Linked DNA regions of Arabidopsis thaliana. The protein of the gene in region 1 interacts with the protein of each later gene in a biochemical or structural test. Each region holds a gene or a part of one and is shown on either strand. Other genes may lie near its edges.

The links.
Region 2: of the proteins of CNI1 (region 1) and GRF1, one has a biochemical effect on the other in vitro, tested with the Arabidopsis thaliana proteins (one study listed by BioGRID).

The regions. Positions count from the first base shown.
Region 1 is NC_003076.8:9,678,752-9,687,402, forward strand, and holds CNI1 (carbon/nitrogen insensitive 1), read left to right. Parts: upstream 1-5,236; 5' UTR 5,237-5,367; coding exon 5,368-6,474; 3' UTR 6,475-6,991; downstream 6,992-8,651. Other genes in the region: AT5G27410 (D-aminoacid aminotransferase-like PLP-dependent enzymes superfamily protein), read left to right, coding at 3-138, 489-587, 657-728, 827-919, 1,063-1,200, 1,292-1,350, 1,441-1,543, 1,627-1,815 and 11 more. UniProt on the Arabidopsis thaliana protein: E3 ubiquitin-protein ligase that is required for the plant C/N response during seedling growth transition. May be involved in the early steps of the plant defense signaling pathway.
Region 2 is NC_003075.7:5,771,696-5,780,805, forward strand, and holds GRF1 (general regulatory factor 1), read left to right. Parts: upstream 1-3,514; 5' UTR 3,515-3,691; coding exon 3,692-4,183; intron 4,184-4,260; coding exon 4,261-4,383; intron 4,384-4,474; coding exon 4,475-4,591; exon of another isoform or gene 4,592-4,676; coding exon 4,677-4,743; exon of another isoform or gene 4,744-4,949; intron 4,950-5,094; exon of another isoform or gene 5,095-5,304; coding exon 5,305-5,462; 3' UTR 5,463-5,786; downstream 5,787-9,110. Other genes in the region: TL29 (ascorbate peroxidase 4), read right to left, coding at 5,807-5,917, 6,003-6,137, 6,216-6,353, 6,432-6,538, 6,632-6,762, 6,838-6,878, 6,948-7,048, 7,130-7,217 and 2 more. UniProt on the Arabidopsis thaliana protein: Is associated with a DNA binding complex that binds to the G box, a well-characterized cis-acting DNA regulatory element found in plant genes. Involved in the regulation of nutrient metabolism.

The DNA.
Region 1 (8,651 bases):
AGAGAAACACGGACTAAGGCAATAATAGTTTTGTTGAAGTTGAGATTGATTTCAAAGGGATCGTCTTTAATGGAGGTGATACACGCATGGTCTGCTCCAAGATCACTCAGCACCACTCTCATGTACTCCTTTGCCCAGGTACTCTTTTTGTTTTCTTACCTTACTCAGAGATTTTTCCTGGAAATGGAACAGATTTGCCCAGGTACTGTTTTATCATAGAAAATTTATTGATGATCTAAATTTTGTTTGAGTGATTGAATCCCACCTTCTGAGCAGTAGAGAAATAGTTCTCTGTGTATTGATACCAGGAAAGAAAGAAAAAAGGATCAAAATTTTTGGTTTTAAATATTCTTCTTGGCTTCAAAACATCTATGTGTCCTCAATGATAAACAGTTCCGAATAAAAGTTTTTTACATTTTTGAGTTATTGTGAAACTATGTATGGTGTGAGTTGTAACTTGCAAGATGCTTTGGTTTAAATTTCTTCAGAGAGATGACATTGAAGTGCTTGATGAGCCATTATACGCTGCGTTCCTCAAGTCTACGGGTGTTGATAGGCCTTACAAAGATGAGCTTCTCTCTAAGATGGTAAGTTAATTCACATTAGTCAATTTAGGCATAGAGGAGAAATAGTATAATCGTCGCGTTTTCTAATAGGAGTGTGATGGAGAAAAGGTGGTGAAGGATATCATTTATGGTCCAGGAAAGAAGAAATATAGGTTTTGTAAGGTTATACTCACTTCTCTTTCTGATATAGAGACTTCAATTTTGTTCTATACCACACTGTGTTTGGGATAAATTTGTGTTTCTGGCCTTTCTCTGCACAGCATATATCGAAACAGCGACTTCTTGGTTTGCCAAGTGAACTAATGAGTGAAGGGAAGCACTTTATATTGATACGCAATCCCCTCAACATATTGGTAAGCTTCTCAAACTCACTTCTGGTGTTATGTTTTCGTGGAGATTCTTCTGGGTTGGTTTTGTCTTGACGTTTATGGGTCTGATCCTTTCTGGTTTGAGATGTTTCCTCTCTTTGCTTTCGTTTCTTTGTCTTTTCTTGCAGCCTTCTTTTGAGAAGATACACCCTTCATCGTTTCACGAATTGGGACTGGGAGAGTTAGTATCGATATACAGTGATCTCTGTCAGATGGGAACACCACCAGCAATCATCGATGCAGATGAGCTCCAGCGAGATCCCGAGGTTTCATTGCTATATTATGAAATTTTCACAAGGAAACCATTTCTTTTATGTAAGAAGATTCTTATGTTCTGTGCCATTCTTCTATTTTCAGGCTACACTACGCAGTCTTTGTGATGACTTAGAGATCCCCTTTCAAGCCTCTATGCTTAAGTAGACCCTCTATGCTCTAGTGATCTCTTCGATTTGACAGTTAATGGCAAAAGCAATGACTGTATCTTTATTGTTTGCGTTCTCTTAAAGATGGGAGGCTGGTCCTATACCAGAAGATGGACTTTGGGCTCCATGGTGGTACGAGACTCTTCATAAATCAACAGGGTTCTCGTCGCCCCAGAAGTACCCTCAGGTACAAGACCTGTTTTCGCTGCAATTTAAGATCCTGAAACTCAGACATCATTCAAACTACAATGTGTTTTGTTTTGCTTTCAGACTTTCCCTTTAATGCATTACGATTTGCTGGAGCAATGTTTACCGCTGTACAACATTCTGAGGTGCCACATGAAGCACAAGTCATCGCTCTTGTCCAGCACCTTACCTCCTCCCAGTCTCCCAGTTCCTGAAAATGCTAAACTTCTTGCTTGGGTTGGTGATGAGATTGTGCCACGAGAGATGGCGAAGGTGCTTGAGCCATACATGGATCTCTGTTTGTTATTTCTTGTTTATGCTTATGTTCTGATGTTATTTGTCTTTATTCTTGCTTAAGGTTTCTGTTTTTGACTCGGTCGTGCAAGGCGGTGACTCTGTATGGGAAGGTCTTCGTATATACAAAGGGAAAGTATTTAAGCTTGAAGAACATCTAGACCGGTAAGAAGCAAGTAAGAGAAAGTACTTCTTCGAATCATTCTTAGTAATATGTTGAAGTGTTGCATATAGGTTGTCTGATTCCGCAAAGGCTCTGGCTTTCAACAATGTCCCAACCCGCGAGGAGGTAAGTATATGATGAAGATAAAAATCATTGTCATTGTTTGGAATATGGGACTTTTCAATGAAGCTATCACAACTGAAAATGCACAGATAAAAGAAGCCATCTTCAGAACTCTCATAACCAATGGGATGTTTGACAATACACATATAAGATTGTCTCTAACTCGAGGCAAAAAGGTATTAATCACACTTTGACCAACTTCAAAGTAAATTATATGCAAGAAGATGCTTCTTTCTGTTTCCATTTCAATCATTTTAAACCTAAACAGCTATCAATTTTGTTTCTTTTAAGGTCACATCTGGAATGAGCCCTGCATTTAACCGTTATGGATGTACTTTGATCGGTAAAGTTTCAGATTTTTCTCTTGCAAGCATACAACTAAACTCTGTGGAATATGGTTTTTTGAGTATTATCGTTTTTCAAAATATTGTGTAGTGCTTGCTGAATGGAAGCCTCCGGTATATGACAATGATGGCGGAATTGTGCTGGTGACTGCAACTACACGCCGGAATTCACCCAACGTATAAAATTGCTCTCATTGTCTTGCATTTATATTTATTTGAGAAACACATTTGCTCAGAAGTGTTTTTGTCCATTGTTGTTTAATCTTCTTCTAAACTTTCTTTCCAGAATTTAGATTCCAAGATTCATCACAACAACCTCCTCAATAATATACTTGCAAAGGTACCATCCTTTGCCTGTCATCGAGTTGAATCCGTGATCATGTGTTATTAGGGACGTCATTGTGAGATGTTTTTATTGGTAATGACACAGATTGAAAGCAACAATGCCAACGTCGATGATGCAATCATGCTTGACAAGGATGGGTTTGTGTCTGAAACCAATGCAACCAACATTGTAAGATCCTCGGATTGAACATTTTTTACTCTCAAAGAACCGTACTGAATCTCTGTGTAGCATTTGGAAACTAACATGGTGGAGGAACTCTGTTGGTGCAGTTCATGGTGAAGAAAGACCGAGTACTCACTCCTCACGCAGATTATTGTCTCCCCGGCATTACTCGAGCTACTGTAAGAGAGAAGAAGATTCATATTCTTTCTGATAACATATTTCAGGACTATAACATGACCAGTCTTATTTTCTAATCCATGTCCAGGTGATGGAACTGGTGGTGAAAGAGAACTTTATCTTAGAAGAACGTAGAATCAGCTTGTCGGAATTCCATACAGCTGATGAGGTTTCCTCATCTTTTCCTTAATCTTAGAATCTCAAATGATCACTAACTAAGTGTTATCAATCCATATCAAAACTTTCTAGGTATGGACTACAGGAACTATGGGAGAACTCAGCCCGGTACATACTCAATCTCTATTTTACAATCAAGGAATATGAAAATCTCAATGTTTTGAGTGAAGATTTCCTTCTTGTGAAACACTTTCTGGTTGGTTTTTGTGCCGCTTATTTATCGAGGTTATTGGTTTTAGGTTGTGAAAATTGATGGGCGTGTGATCGGTGAAGGAAAAGTAGGACCGGTAACAAGAAGACTTCAAAATGCTTACAAGAAACTGACGGATGGTTCAGGTGTCCCAATACCTACTTACCAAGAAGTCAAGAACCTTGAACCATGTGTTTGATCGTAGAACACGAATGGTAAACCAGGCTTGTTAAATGTGTTCATCTAGATTCGTAAACTCTAACAAGAACGTTGAACAAAAGGAACCTTATTTTGGAAAAATGAAATCAACGTTAACATAATTTCATCATTGGTTTTTTATTTTTGAAGTACTGAAAAGGTTTTGTGATTGCAGGAAAAAAACATTGCATACGAGGAAAACGGCACGTATTTCAGAGGAAAGCTGTGGTGTTTTACGTTTTTGAATAGAAAGTGCGTGCTGTTTTAGCTCTCAAACTCTCTCATATTATGCTGTTGACCTGTTGTAGCCTGTGGGTCAATGTAATCACAGTTGGTCGCAAATCCAAGTCAAGTCAGGCTCTCTTGTTTGACTTTTCAATTTTTTTTTCCACAATAACGATAATGCTGATCAATAAACAAAACCATAATATCATCAATTTTTGCTTTGAGTTCTAGTATATATAAAAAACTATAAAGTCCTTAGTTTGGGTTGAGAAGCATAAATTTAAACCTCCCACAATGAATTTTTTAAATATGCATTAAAGGAGTTTGAATCCTGATAACATAACAACAGTGTAAATACCAAATACTAGACTACTATATGCTTTGATCTAAAAACATAAGAAAATAACATTATTAGTAAGTAAAGACACTTGGTTTAAGTAGTAAACTCCCTAATGGATCTAGTTTTTCACTTTCCATGTCATTTTCAAATATTATATCGACTAAAATAGGTGATAACAAAAAAGTAACTTATAGAGAGAAAAAAAAATTAGTTCATGTTGGAGACATAACTTTTGCTAATTTAAATCAAAGATCAAATGAATTTGGTTTGCTTTTGGGACTATAGTGACCACACATATAATAAATAGTGTGATTCCACGAGATTTGTTATTGGTTAAAAGGTAAAATTGAAAAATTGCAGATCATTTTGTCTTTGTGCAGATTGCCAATTTTTATTCCCAACGGATTGGATTTGCCAATTCAAAGTCAACAGAAATTGTAATTAAAAAAAAAAAGAAGCATATTTGAGTTAGTGATCAGGATAGACCTATGATGGCTAAAGACTTTCTAGAAGAATATGAATATCAAAGTAGTCGTCTATAAATGATGACGGCTAAGACTAGTAAACATAAATTTGTTAATTTTTTCAAGTAATTTTTTCTTCGTGTGATCACATATCATTAACATGTTCCAAATTCATGGTCCTCTTATCTTGAATAAGATTTTAGTATGTATTGTAAACTAGCTCAAAACATTAACATTTCTGTAATAAACGAATGAATGAAACTTGCCGGTGAAATAGTAAATTATAAAAAAGAGATATGAAAATGACCATTTTAGATGAAATAAAAGATACTTTTCATACATACATATACAGAGTTTAGGACCATTTCAACAACTTCTTCGAAGTCATCGAACTATTTTGATTTGTATGACTTTTCACTTCCATCTCCAATTGGAAACTTCTGACCGTCCACGTGGCATTCAATAAGTAACACATTTGCTTATGACATATCCCCTAACTTCCTCGCTTCTTCTCCACGACTTTTTCAAACTTTTCAAAACCTCCCTATAAACTTCAGATCCTTATTCCTCACAATATTAAACCAAAAAAAAAAACTAACTTTTTGGGACTCCAGAACTAATAATGGATCCCATAAAACACATCTCTTTACCAGTTCTTGTCTTGTTTCTACTATTATCCGTGTCGGCGGGTCAACCCGGAACCCCGGACCAGAGACATGACCCGTATGCTTACAGCGGCAGTCTAAGTCCAGCCATGGCTGTTGTCGTTGTAGTTGTCATCGCAGCTCTCTTCTTCATGGGCTTCTTCACCGTCTATATACGTCACTGTACTGGCGCAGTAGACGGTAGCGTTACTCCTGCAGGAGGAGCTAGGAGGAGAGTGACGAACGCAACGGTTGCGCGTGGGTTAGACGCGGAGACGATCGAGACGTTTCCGACTTTTGTTTACTCAGAAGTGAAGACACAGAAGATTGGTAAAGGAGCGTTGGAGTGTGCGATTTGTTTGAATGAGTTTGAAGACGATGAAACGCTGCGTCTGTTGCCTAAATGTGATCACGTGTTTCATCCTCATTGTATCGGCGCGTGGCTTCAAGGTCACGTGACTTGTCCGGTTTGTCGGACTAATCTTGCTGAACAGACGCCTGAACCGGAAGTGGTGGTGGAAACCGATCTTGAGGCGCAGCAGCAATCGGCGGTTCCTGTACCGGTGGTGGAACTTCCACGTGTTAAATTCCCGAGGTCGCATACGACAGGGCATTCGGTGGTTTTACCGGGAGAGAGTACCGACCGGTTTACGCTTAGAGTACCGGAAGAATTAAGGAAGAAGATAATGGCGAATTGGAAATTGAACCGGTCGAATAGTGTTTTTGTTTTACCGAGAGGAGGAAGCTCGAGGAGTGGTAAACAGGTTGACCGGTCGAGGGCTAAATCGGACCGGTGGTTGTTCCGTAAAACTCCGTCGTTTCTATGGAGGAACCGGGATGATGGTTCGATTAGGCTAGGTGGTACCGGTAGTGTTAGAGGAAATTCAGTAACAAGTCCGAGCGGTGACTCGGTACGAGCAGACCGGTGGGCTTTTCTTAGAAACCCATCGTTTCTCTGGAGGAATACGACGCCGGTTCCTTCGCCGAGAGTTGAAGTCAATAATAAGGACGGTGAAGGAACATCGTCAGTTCAACATATCGGTACAGTTGGTTCAACTAGCGGTTCCCTTAGGCTACCGGTTTAGTGTTCGGTGATGTTTTGTGCATTGTTCATAAACACGCAATAGATTTTACGTAATTCTTTAATTTTGTTTGTCTTTTTCTGTAAGATATTTAAATCGACAATCCAACGGAAAAAGGAGATTGTTTTACTTAATTTATTTTATACTCTTCAAAAGTCAAACAAAGAACGAACTGGAGATTGGTCTTGTTCTTAAAAAAAAAAAAAGTCTTGTTCGTCGACCAAAGAATACATGGAACTGGAAGATAGAGACTACAACATTATTTTATAGCGGTAATGGAATGTATTATCTAGTTCTGAATTCATGTGTTTATTTCTCGATGAATACGATGAACGACTAAAAAAAGAGAGGAACTATATAACAAACAAATTTGTTACCAATTAATGATTGTTTTTTTTTTGGGGAAATACAACGTTTTTTTTTTCTCAAGTAGTATTGTTGTCGGACCAAAACAAAAATTTGTACTAATATATGAATCAAGTAGATAAGAACAATGTATCAAATTAAAATTTCAGATAACAGTTTCCACAGTTAATCATTTGAGCGTCAAAAAAAGTAATATCATTTGAACATTGAAGCACGAGGTACTTTACTTTCAGAGCTGAGACTAAAGATAGTTCGAGAAGATCTTATTTTAATACTTGGAAGTTGGAAATACGGAAATGAAATCATATACATTAAAATATAAAACATAGTTACTTCATCAGATAGACCACGACTAAGTCGTTTCGATACGGATTGGAAGATTACTTGTTCAACAATTTGAATAGTTACGTAGAAAGTTGCCATCATTCAAATTTTATTCTAGAAACATAAAAATGTAAAAATTACCAAACACACAATATAGCCGTTGTTGTCTACAATATGATGATGGTACCATTGTTTATTTGTTTTTATATAACTGCATACGAGATGTTGGAAAATGTTTACATATATTTTAGTTAGTTAGTTTAAATAATAATAAAATAATTTGTACTTTTTATTTAATTTACTCTATTTTTTAATAATTTTATGTTTTTTGTTTATTTTATGTGACATTCGATCTACGTCCGTAATCAGATTGAGAATACAAGAACGTCTCATACCTCAGAAAAAATTTATAGTTCTGCATTTTGCTTTTTTTTTGCGAGAGTCGGCGGCATCTCTGTCACACTGAACAGTAAAGAGAAAAATATATTTAGGATTTATTTTAATCGTGTATTTATACTGTGTTTTTTGGGCTGGGTCTTAAACAAATCTGCCCAAAAAATATATATATATATATATTTTATTTTATCTCTTGTGAAAATATGTAAACAATTTATTCTTTTTGTGCTGAATGATTAATAAGTGAATGCAAGGTTCCAAGTTTAAGAAAATATATACTCGATTTGATCCGACGAAATCATATGGAATTGCGAGCAATACATTTATCAAGGTTTTAAAAATTGAGATTTCAAAATAACGCTTTTGTTATTATAACGACAAACAAAATAAACCATATTTCTTATAGAAAAAAAATAGTTCGTTCTAAATTTGTACATGACTCAATATCTTATTTTTTAAATCCCATATAGTATCAAAAAGTATTAAATTATTAATGCACACAAAGTCACAATCAATGATTTATATTAAATAAAATTGCATTGACTAACTATTTGGAATAAATCATGGATTATGTATACTGTATAGTATATAATTCGTATGCACACAATCCATGATTTATGTTTTAAAAGACATATGAACACAATCCATATCTCTGTGTACAATCTAACTTTTCGAAATAAATCTAAACAAAAATTGAATAGTTTATAATTTCAAAGTTTGCAATTCAAATCCAACATAAAATAATATTAATCAAAATAATTAAGTAGAAACAATTTTGATTGGTTTTATGCTTAGTTTTACTAACTTTGCCATTACGACCAACAATTTTTCACTAACAATCGGTTTGGTGACAGAACCGATTAATAACTTTGCCATTACGGCCAACAATTTTTCACTAACAATCGGTTTGGAGACAGAACCGATCAATAATTTTCTAAACCGTACTATTGTAAACCGGAATGTTGGTTTATATGATTAAGATCACATTGGTATAACTCTACGTGTCTCGTCCAATCACATTTCACAGCGTCAAGGAAATAAATATTAGATAATTAATAAATTTTAATAAGAGGAAAAAAAAACATTCATCTTCT
Region 2 (9,110 bases), on another chromosome or scaffold:
CAATCTAAACCCAGAAGTCAATTCCATTCAAGGCACAACGCACCGATTTGTAGTTTCACATAAATCAAAACTAACCTGGAGCTGCGTGATGGCCGGAATCTGAAGTAGCTTACGAGATCGACGCATGACGAAATTAGATAGAGACGGAGATGGAGACGCCGGGAAATAGAACGTGTGTTATATGAAAAAGCATGTTTTTAAGCTTTGAGTATGGCACTCGTAAATACTAATTCGGCACTGCTTCGGCTTTCAATGTACCATAGACCATCTACATTTTTTTGGTAGAAGAGGGGAGACTAGTCTCCCATTTTATTGAAAATTAAAACAAACTACAAAAACGAGTATACTCGACGAGGGCGCGCAGACTCAATAACGTCATCACTAAACAGCGAATCAACAACAAGAGGAACAAAAACAAAAGCATAAAGCCCAATAGCAAAGAGAACGCATAGTTAGCTAACCCGTCAGTAAGGCGGTTAGCCTCTCTATACACATGAGAAATACGGACTATCCAGTCCTTCGAAAAAAAGCCGTGGCACAACCGTACCAAGAAAGACAAAGGGTGTCGCTCGCTAACCCCAGTCTTGAGAAAGCCCACCACCAATGTCGAGTCTACTTCCAACTCCACTCTCGTCACCTTCTTCTCCCAAGCGAAGTACATGCCGTAATAGACACCCCATAACTCCGCCACCGGAGCCGTACAACGACCAATGTTAAGAGCGAAACCCCCACACCACTCTCCCGCACTGTTTCTTAGCACTCCTCCCGCTGTAGCCAGACCCGGATTACCCCGTGATGCCCCACCAGTATTGAGCTTCAGCCACCCATCGTTAGGCACACCCCAACCAACCATTACTTCCACCCTACCGCCTATCCCCGAACCTCCTTTATGTTTACTAGTAGCGGTAGTTACTTCCTTAGCCGCATCCTTAATAAACCTCGTTCTATCCCGACACTTACCACGTTTGTCAAACACGTTATCACAGCGCCACTTCCAAGCCCACCAAATAGCCATCGTGAAAACCGTAGACCATACACTCTCATATATTTCCCGGTCATCACCTAGGTTATCATGCTACCATTCGATCAACGACTGTGCAAAGAAGGATCTCCTCCGCCGCTGGGGAATGATACGATCCCAAAGTCCTGCCATTGCGGGACAATCCCGAAGGATGTGAATAATCGTCTCACTTCCCCCCTTACAGACTTGGCAAACATCTGTTATACACAGATGCCTTCTAAATCGCTCAGCATCCGTCATTAGAGCTTGATTCCCGACTAACCAAAGAAACATTTTTGCTCTCTCCGTCGCCACCACCCCCCATATGCGACTAAAAAGAACAACACAACATATACAACAAAACATAGAATATCAACATTAAAGAATATAAAAAATATCAACAAAACATATACAACTCGCAGTGTATTATATATTTAAAATCAAATAAAATAATATCATAAATTTATTAATCATCTTTACAAAAAAAGATTTTTAGTTTAACTAAAATATAAACTTACCCGCGGTATACCGCGGGTTAATATCTAGTGCAAACATATTTAGTAGGAGTATCATAAAAAATCTCAAACATTATAAATAATACTTAAAAATTCCTTATGATACCATATGAGTATCACCCATATACATGCTATTATTGTGGGTAAAAATAGATAGTTTTGCGCAAGACCTATTAAATTATGAATATTTTGATTATTTGTTCCATAATTATTAAAATTTGAACATTTTTGTTGTTAGCGCAAGATTCAATCCTTGCTTTGGGGAAAAATTAAAGCTATACGTAATTTCACTGATCGTTTTTGGAAAGAAACATGGAAATTAAAAGGTGAGCTTTTTTTTTAGTTGCTGCTTCTCTATTGATGAGTTCCTAGCGTTATGTGGAATCTAGAAACTTTGTGATTTTGTTTATAATCTATGCTTACTCTTTTCTCATGTTTACGCTTCTAGATGATAAACAACGAACACGTTGGAATAAGTCCTACAACATCTTGTTTGGGATGGAGCCAGGAAGTTCTGAGATGAATCTATCTTATATGCCCAACTACAAAGGACTTTGTTGATTTCATGTTTGAAAAGCAAAAGCCTATCCAATTCTTCACTCCAACGGTTAATTTTAACCACATTCGCGGTTCTACTATATATCCTTAATGAAATGTAGATTCTAGGACCTTAAAATTGTTTTTCCTCTGTGGCAGAGAACTTTTTCTACATCGATGCCCATGAAAGTCTCTTGACTTCTTGCCTCCTACTATTTTATGCATCCTAAAGCGAATCTCGATAAGGTTGTAATCTCTATTATATCCATCCTAAACACCGTTTGTGTATTCTCCATGTGTTTGATTCCTTTTGAATGTTTTGGTTCCTAGCTGAAACTCCAATATGAGGGGTTAGAGCATTAGTTATTCAACCTAAAACTCCATTATCTCTGACTCAAAGACCTATCATTGTCTTTAGTGTGACTCCAAATTATGAGGCTTTCTCTCTACCTTGCAAGATCAAACTTGAAAGAAATCTTGATAAAATCCTAACTTCAGGAAAATTGTGTATATACATATGTCGTTTAATCGATACTCTACATGTTTGCTTGTTTAACAACGATATGTGTGTACGTTTTGTGCATACTATTTTCAGCAAATAGTTTTTTTCATAGAGAAATTAAATTTTAGTAAATACACGAATATTATAATTATGATCTCACAAAAAAGAAAAAAAAAACCGAGATCTTCAAATAAATATAAAACTTACTTACATAGACATGCAAAGCCTTCTTGACATGCAAATGGATGTTGTCCATGTTCCTAATAGAGGGGATGAAACCAATCCACAAAATTTATTTTTACTAAAGTGATGAGGACTTATAGCCTTAGAAATATAGTAATTATGAGTATCCAAAACAGAACAGTTGGTCTTCTTAAATAAAAAAAATAAAAAAAATAATTAGATGTTTATAATAATATCTTATTATAACAGTTGGTCCTCTTAATTTTTTTTTAAAAAGAGATAATTAAATGTTTATAATAATATTTGTAAATTAACGATGTCGGCTCACTAGATTTACGATGATTGACGTATTTGTTTGTAAATTTTATGAAATTACGTTCATTAAATTAAATATTTAAATACTAAAGATTAACAGCTAAAGAAATCTTAATGAAATATTGCCATCTTTGGGTTTTAAATTTTCTATTTTTCATATTTCATATCGGATATCCGATTAAAAATGAAATCAGTAAGTATACCAAAATACAAGCGTTATATTTATTGGGCCTATTCGGGCCATTCAATAATTAATTCACCCACGCGCAAATGAGTTAATCCGTAAAATAGGCTTTAAAGCCCATTCAATAAACCCGTTTCGCAGGAAAAAAGCCCATTAAATAAGTAATTTCCAGAAATACCCTTTTCCAATCATTGAAAATTCAAACTTGACCTAAAAAGTATCTGAAAAGCCAGCGCCTTTTTTCGTTACGAATCCGTGTTTTTGCCAGCTTTCAATCCAACGGCTCTCCTTTCTTCTCACAATCCGTAATCATCGCTCCCCACTCATTCATTATAAACAAAAACAAAAATCCACGGAGCCGATAAAAAAAAAAAAAAACTCTCTCAGATCTGAGAATCATTTCTTCTTCTTCTTCCTCACTTTGTTCATCATCTTCTTCTCCGATCTAAACAACAATGGCGACACCAGGAGCTTCCTCAGCAAGAGATGAATTCGTATACATGGCGAAACTCGCCGAACAAGCAGAGCGTTACGAAGAAATGGTTGAATTCATGGAGAAAGTCGCGAAAGCTGTTGACAAAGACGAACTCACCGTCGAAGAACGTAATCTCCTCTCCGTCGCTTACAAAAACGTCATCGGAGCTCGTCGTGCTTCGTGGAGAATCATTTCATCGATCGAACAAAAGGAGGAGTCTCGCGGTAACGATGACCACGTTTCGTTGATCCGTGACTACAGAAGCAAAATCGAAACGGAACTTTCTGATATCTGTGACGGAATCCTTAAGCTTCTCGATACGATTCTCGTTCCCGCTGCTGCTTCTGGAGATTCGAAGGTGTTTTATCTGAAGATGAAAGGTGATTATCATAGGTACTTGGCTGAGTTCAAATCTGGTCAAGAGAGGAAAGATGCTGCTGAACATACTCTTACTGCTTACAAAGCTGCTCAGGTTTTTGATCTCTTTCTCCGATCTGTGATTTGATTTTTGTGTGATTTAGGTTTTTGAAATTTTGGTTTGTTGTGTAGGATATTGCTAATTCTGAATTGGCTCCAACGCATCCGATTCGTCTTGGTCTTGCGTTGAACTTCTCTGTGTTTTACTATGAGATTCTCAATTCTCCAGATCGTGCTTGTAATCTCGCTAAGCAGGTTTGGATCTCATCTGAGGGATGTTTTATATGATTATGTATTGTTGGTTTATGTGTGTGTTTGATGAGTTTTTGTTTATGGATTTATTTAGGCGTTTGATGAAGCAATTGCTGAATTGGATACTCTTGGTGAAGAGTCATACAAGGACAGTACTTTGATTATGCAGCTTCTTCGTGATAACCTCACTCTCTGGACTTCTGATATGCAGGTATTATATATTGGCTCCTGTATGATTGATTTTGTTGCTTGAATTGTGAAACAATGAGCCTAATTAAGTCATTGACAAAAGTTAGATTTGGATATCAAGTTTATTTGATGCATTCTTCTGGTCTAATTCTGATTTTGGTGATTGTCAACTGTGTTAGTAATCTTGCTAGGTATTATATTTTGGCCTTATAAGCTTGTTTTTGTTGCTTGATGAACGAATAACGTTTTTGTTTCTTGATCTCTGAAACTTTTAGCCTATAATTAAACCATTAAGAAAGACTTGATTTGTAATAAAACAGTTTAGTTTACATTTGGATGCATTCTGCTGGCTCTGATTCTGATTTTAGTGATTGTCAAATGTATTTAAGCCTGTTTTGTTGCTTGATTTCTGAAACCATGAGCCTTGTTAAGCCATTGCGGAAGTCTAGATATGGAAAACAAACAGTTTAGTTTACATTTTGATGCATTCTCTTGGTCATATTCTGATTTTAGTGATTGTCAAATGTGTTTAATCCTGTTTTGTTGCTTAATTTATGAAATCATAAGCCTTGTTAAGCCATTGAGGAAGACACGAATTGAATATCAAGTGGTTTAGTTTACATTTTGATGCATTCCTCCTTATGCCTTGCTTAAGCCTGTTTGTGATTTCTGAAACCATGAGCAAGATATATGCCATTGAGGGAGACTAGATTTGGAAATCAAGTTGTTGCTTAGTTTACATTTTGATACATTCCTCAATCCTTCTTTCTTGTGGTCTGATTCTGATTATGATGATCTTGTCAAATGTTTTTTTCAATCAGGACGATGTTGCTGATGACATCAAAGAAGCAGCACCAGCAGCAGCAAAACCCGCTGACGAGCAACAATCCTAAGTCGTCTTACCGCAACTTTGTTGTCATTTCAGTATCTAAAACCTCTCCATTAATATGTTTTTCTCTTGGAGGTGTTTCTCTGTTGGTTTCTTATTTCCTTTTATCCCCAAGCTCTCTAAGGCAGTCTAATTCTTGTCCTTTTTTGCTGCTTTTCTCAACCGTGGATACGAAAACTCGATTCCTATTATTTTTCGTTTATCTGTTTCCATTTTATCGTGATTTGACTCCTATCTTCTGTGTCTTTGTTTGTAATGGATTCAACTTCTCTTTTTGTTTCAATGTCAAGAAAAATCTTTGGTTTATTTCGAAGTTTCCTCTCATGTTATACATATAGTGTACATAGCTTATAGCTTGAGTTTGCTCAGATTGATCCGTTCGACGGGATATGTATATGCCTCGAAGTTGATTTGCTGTCCTAAGCAACTTAGCTTTGTGAATGCAGTTATGAGATCAACCTACAAACATATTCATAAACCAAAACATGAGCTTGAGTTTGAGGTAGATGAATATATGATTAAGGCAAATCGAGTGAAAACGAACCTCGTAATCAGTCTGAGATACGGTTTCACGGCTTCTTTGATACTTCTGAACCCATGGAGCAACTTGAGGGTCAGTAGCTAAGAGCTGTTCTGTTGCAGCTTGATCAGGACCCAAGAATGCAGACATTACAGCTAGCTACAAATTCCTCATACAGGTTAGTTACTTCGAGTGATCCTAGTAGATAATTCTCTGTTTAAACCGAAAATCATGTACCTGACGAGGACCCAATCCAACAGCAATGAACTTATCTTTCATCTCTTGCACAGTTGCTTTCCCCCATTGTGGGACTCTGCCTTCTGGATCAGCCTCTGTTGCATCACTCCTTCCAAAATTTCTATCAAACAATCCCCACTAACAGATTCACAACGGTTCAGTATCGATTTGAACAAAACGCCGCGACTCAAAAGCGAATACGATAGCATTGTTTACCTGACCAGCTGAACCATATGCTGTGTAAAGTAAGTTCCCCTTCTCTTCATTTCCACCACATTTTCGGATAGCCGATGCTAAATATGTAAACTTGACCGCTGATTGTCCTACAGAAACCAACCCAAGAAAGATTTCAGTTATCCACAAATACAATAATGCTACTCTTCATGAACAAGTTTTGGTATATACTATAACATTACCTGCTAATTGAATGATATCTGCATATGAAATAGGACCTCCCTTCGAGATAGAGTCAATCTCCTTCTTCACTTCCTCTATCAAACTCAACCCATCAGAAAGTCCCTCATTCTCTGCTCTACTTAGCTCAGAGCTTCACAAAAAGAAAAGAATGCATTAGACATCATCTAAAGATTACTCTTATAATGTTCTTACATCATATAACTACCTGAACCGTATGGATCCATTGGCTCCCCCGGATTTAGTAGCCTAGACAAAAAGCTAGTATCATTAAAGGGTCACCAGAGAGATGGACAAGAGCATTATATGAAGCCTGACCTTATCATAAGTCATAGCATCATTGAGAGCTAGTTTGAGTAAGGAAGGTACAAGCTCCGGTTTAGCCTTAATGGTGGTTGAAAGCAAAATCTTGATCTTTGCTGCATAATATAAAAGTGAAACCTTTAGTGCCAATAACAACCTAATGGTACCACACTAGTGTTCTTGTTTCAGATACTCACATTGAAACTCGGATCGTTGTCTACGTTGATTCAAGTCAGCAGCTTTTGCATCACCCACATTGTTAATGAAACCGTTGCCTATTAATTCCTAACAAGAGAGATCATCACTGCCAAGAACTCATCAAATGTGACATAGAGAGGACAACTTCAAGAAGATGTAGCCACAGACTATACATTACAATATCTCATTTGTACCAATGTGTATGTAATTTTTGATCGAGTCAAGTGTTAAGGTACCATTCCGACTGCAGTGCCGGCGAGTTTGAGAACATCACGGCGGTGGAAAGCTAAACTTTCACCGGAAACTTGAGGTTCAATCTTGGAACATCGTATAACAGCCTGATCAGAAGAAGAATTGTTAGCAGAAGAAATGTAAAATGGGTTAGAAGTAAAGAATGTAACAATGGTTGAAACTCACAGAGCGATGAGAAGAAGAAGAGAGTGTAGTGAGATGTTGATGATTGGTTGTGTTGGTGAAGGAAGGAACAGTGGAGAGGAAGGACACTCCTCCCATTTCTGGTTTGTGATGAGACAGAGAAGAGAGAAGAAAGGAGAAAGAGTTGTCTGAAGAAAATGGAGAGTGTGTTTTGGTTTTGTGAAGGATACACTTTTGTGGATTCTCTGTTATCCAAATCTCCCAATCATATGGGTCCATTTGGTTTCATCATATAACTCCTTTTTTTTTTTTCAATAAGAGTTTTTTAAAAGGTCAAAGATTTTTTTTGTGGTTAAAAATCCCAAAAAAAACTCATACTAATTTTTATTTGCAAGTTTAATACCCAATATTTTTGAATTGGTATAAAAATAAATTATCTAATTATTTACTGTCATAAAATACCTCATATATTAATTATTGTTAGAATTAACCTACGGCTTAACGGACGTTAACGGAACTATTTAACGGGGTTAAATTTGAATCTCATACTTTTTAATCTATATATACAATTCGGTGTTACTAACTTATCGAATGCCACTAATCCCAGTAAAACACCCAATCCAACTTCAGAGATTCTCATTTTTTCCCTTGTCCTTCTCACTCTCAGCTCCTCCCTAGAGCTATGACGGCAGGCGGCATAGACGATGATTCTTGGTGGCTAGACAAAGCTGGGAACTAACGCGATCACATTATAAGGCACATGTTACTTGCGGGGAGTATCATCTACGTCGGCTAGAATTAGAGAAACGGGAGAAAAAAAACATGAATTTTGTGCGGGTTTCATTCTACCAATAATAAATATATGAGGTATTTTATGACCATAAATATTAGATGAAGTATTTTTGATTCCAATCCAAAAATATTGGGTATTAAACTTGCAAATAAAAATTAGTATGAGTATTTTTTGGGGTTTTTGAGGATTTTTATTCATTGTCCCGCTTTAATTTACCGTTTTACCTGTTGGTTACAATAGAAACGGTACACACATTCAGTAGCAGTTACCAAACAGGGAATTGAGAAGTGGAGAAATATTGAAATCTAAGATTCATTGGATTCAATTCAAAGTTTTTATTTTATTAACTCAATCTCGAAATAACTTGCTAGGAGTTGTTGAGTAACAAAAGATATCTAAGGATGATAGAATAACACAGTCCTTAACTTTAAGCTAATGAAGACTTCAAAGTTAAAAACATGTTTCTTCTAACTTCGTCACTTGGAAGCTTCAGTTGACTCGTTTGTTTTGTTGACGTCTAAAGGGCACTGAGATACATATGGTTTCAGCTATAAAATACAAATGTTCCATCAGCAAAGCTAGATCACACAACAAAGCTTGCGTTATACATTAAGCTAGCATTCTATTTCAGGTTCCTAACACAAAACTTAAGACCGGAAAAAAAATCGTCAGGATCACACATGCTTAAGGAGCTTTGAATAGTAAGACATGTAAACGGTTTAAAAAGGGAATTTGTTCTAATGTTCAATTAGGATGCAAGTTACATACTCGGCTATCTATATAGAGGAATCAAAGGAAAGGAACAGAAGAAT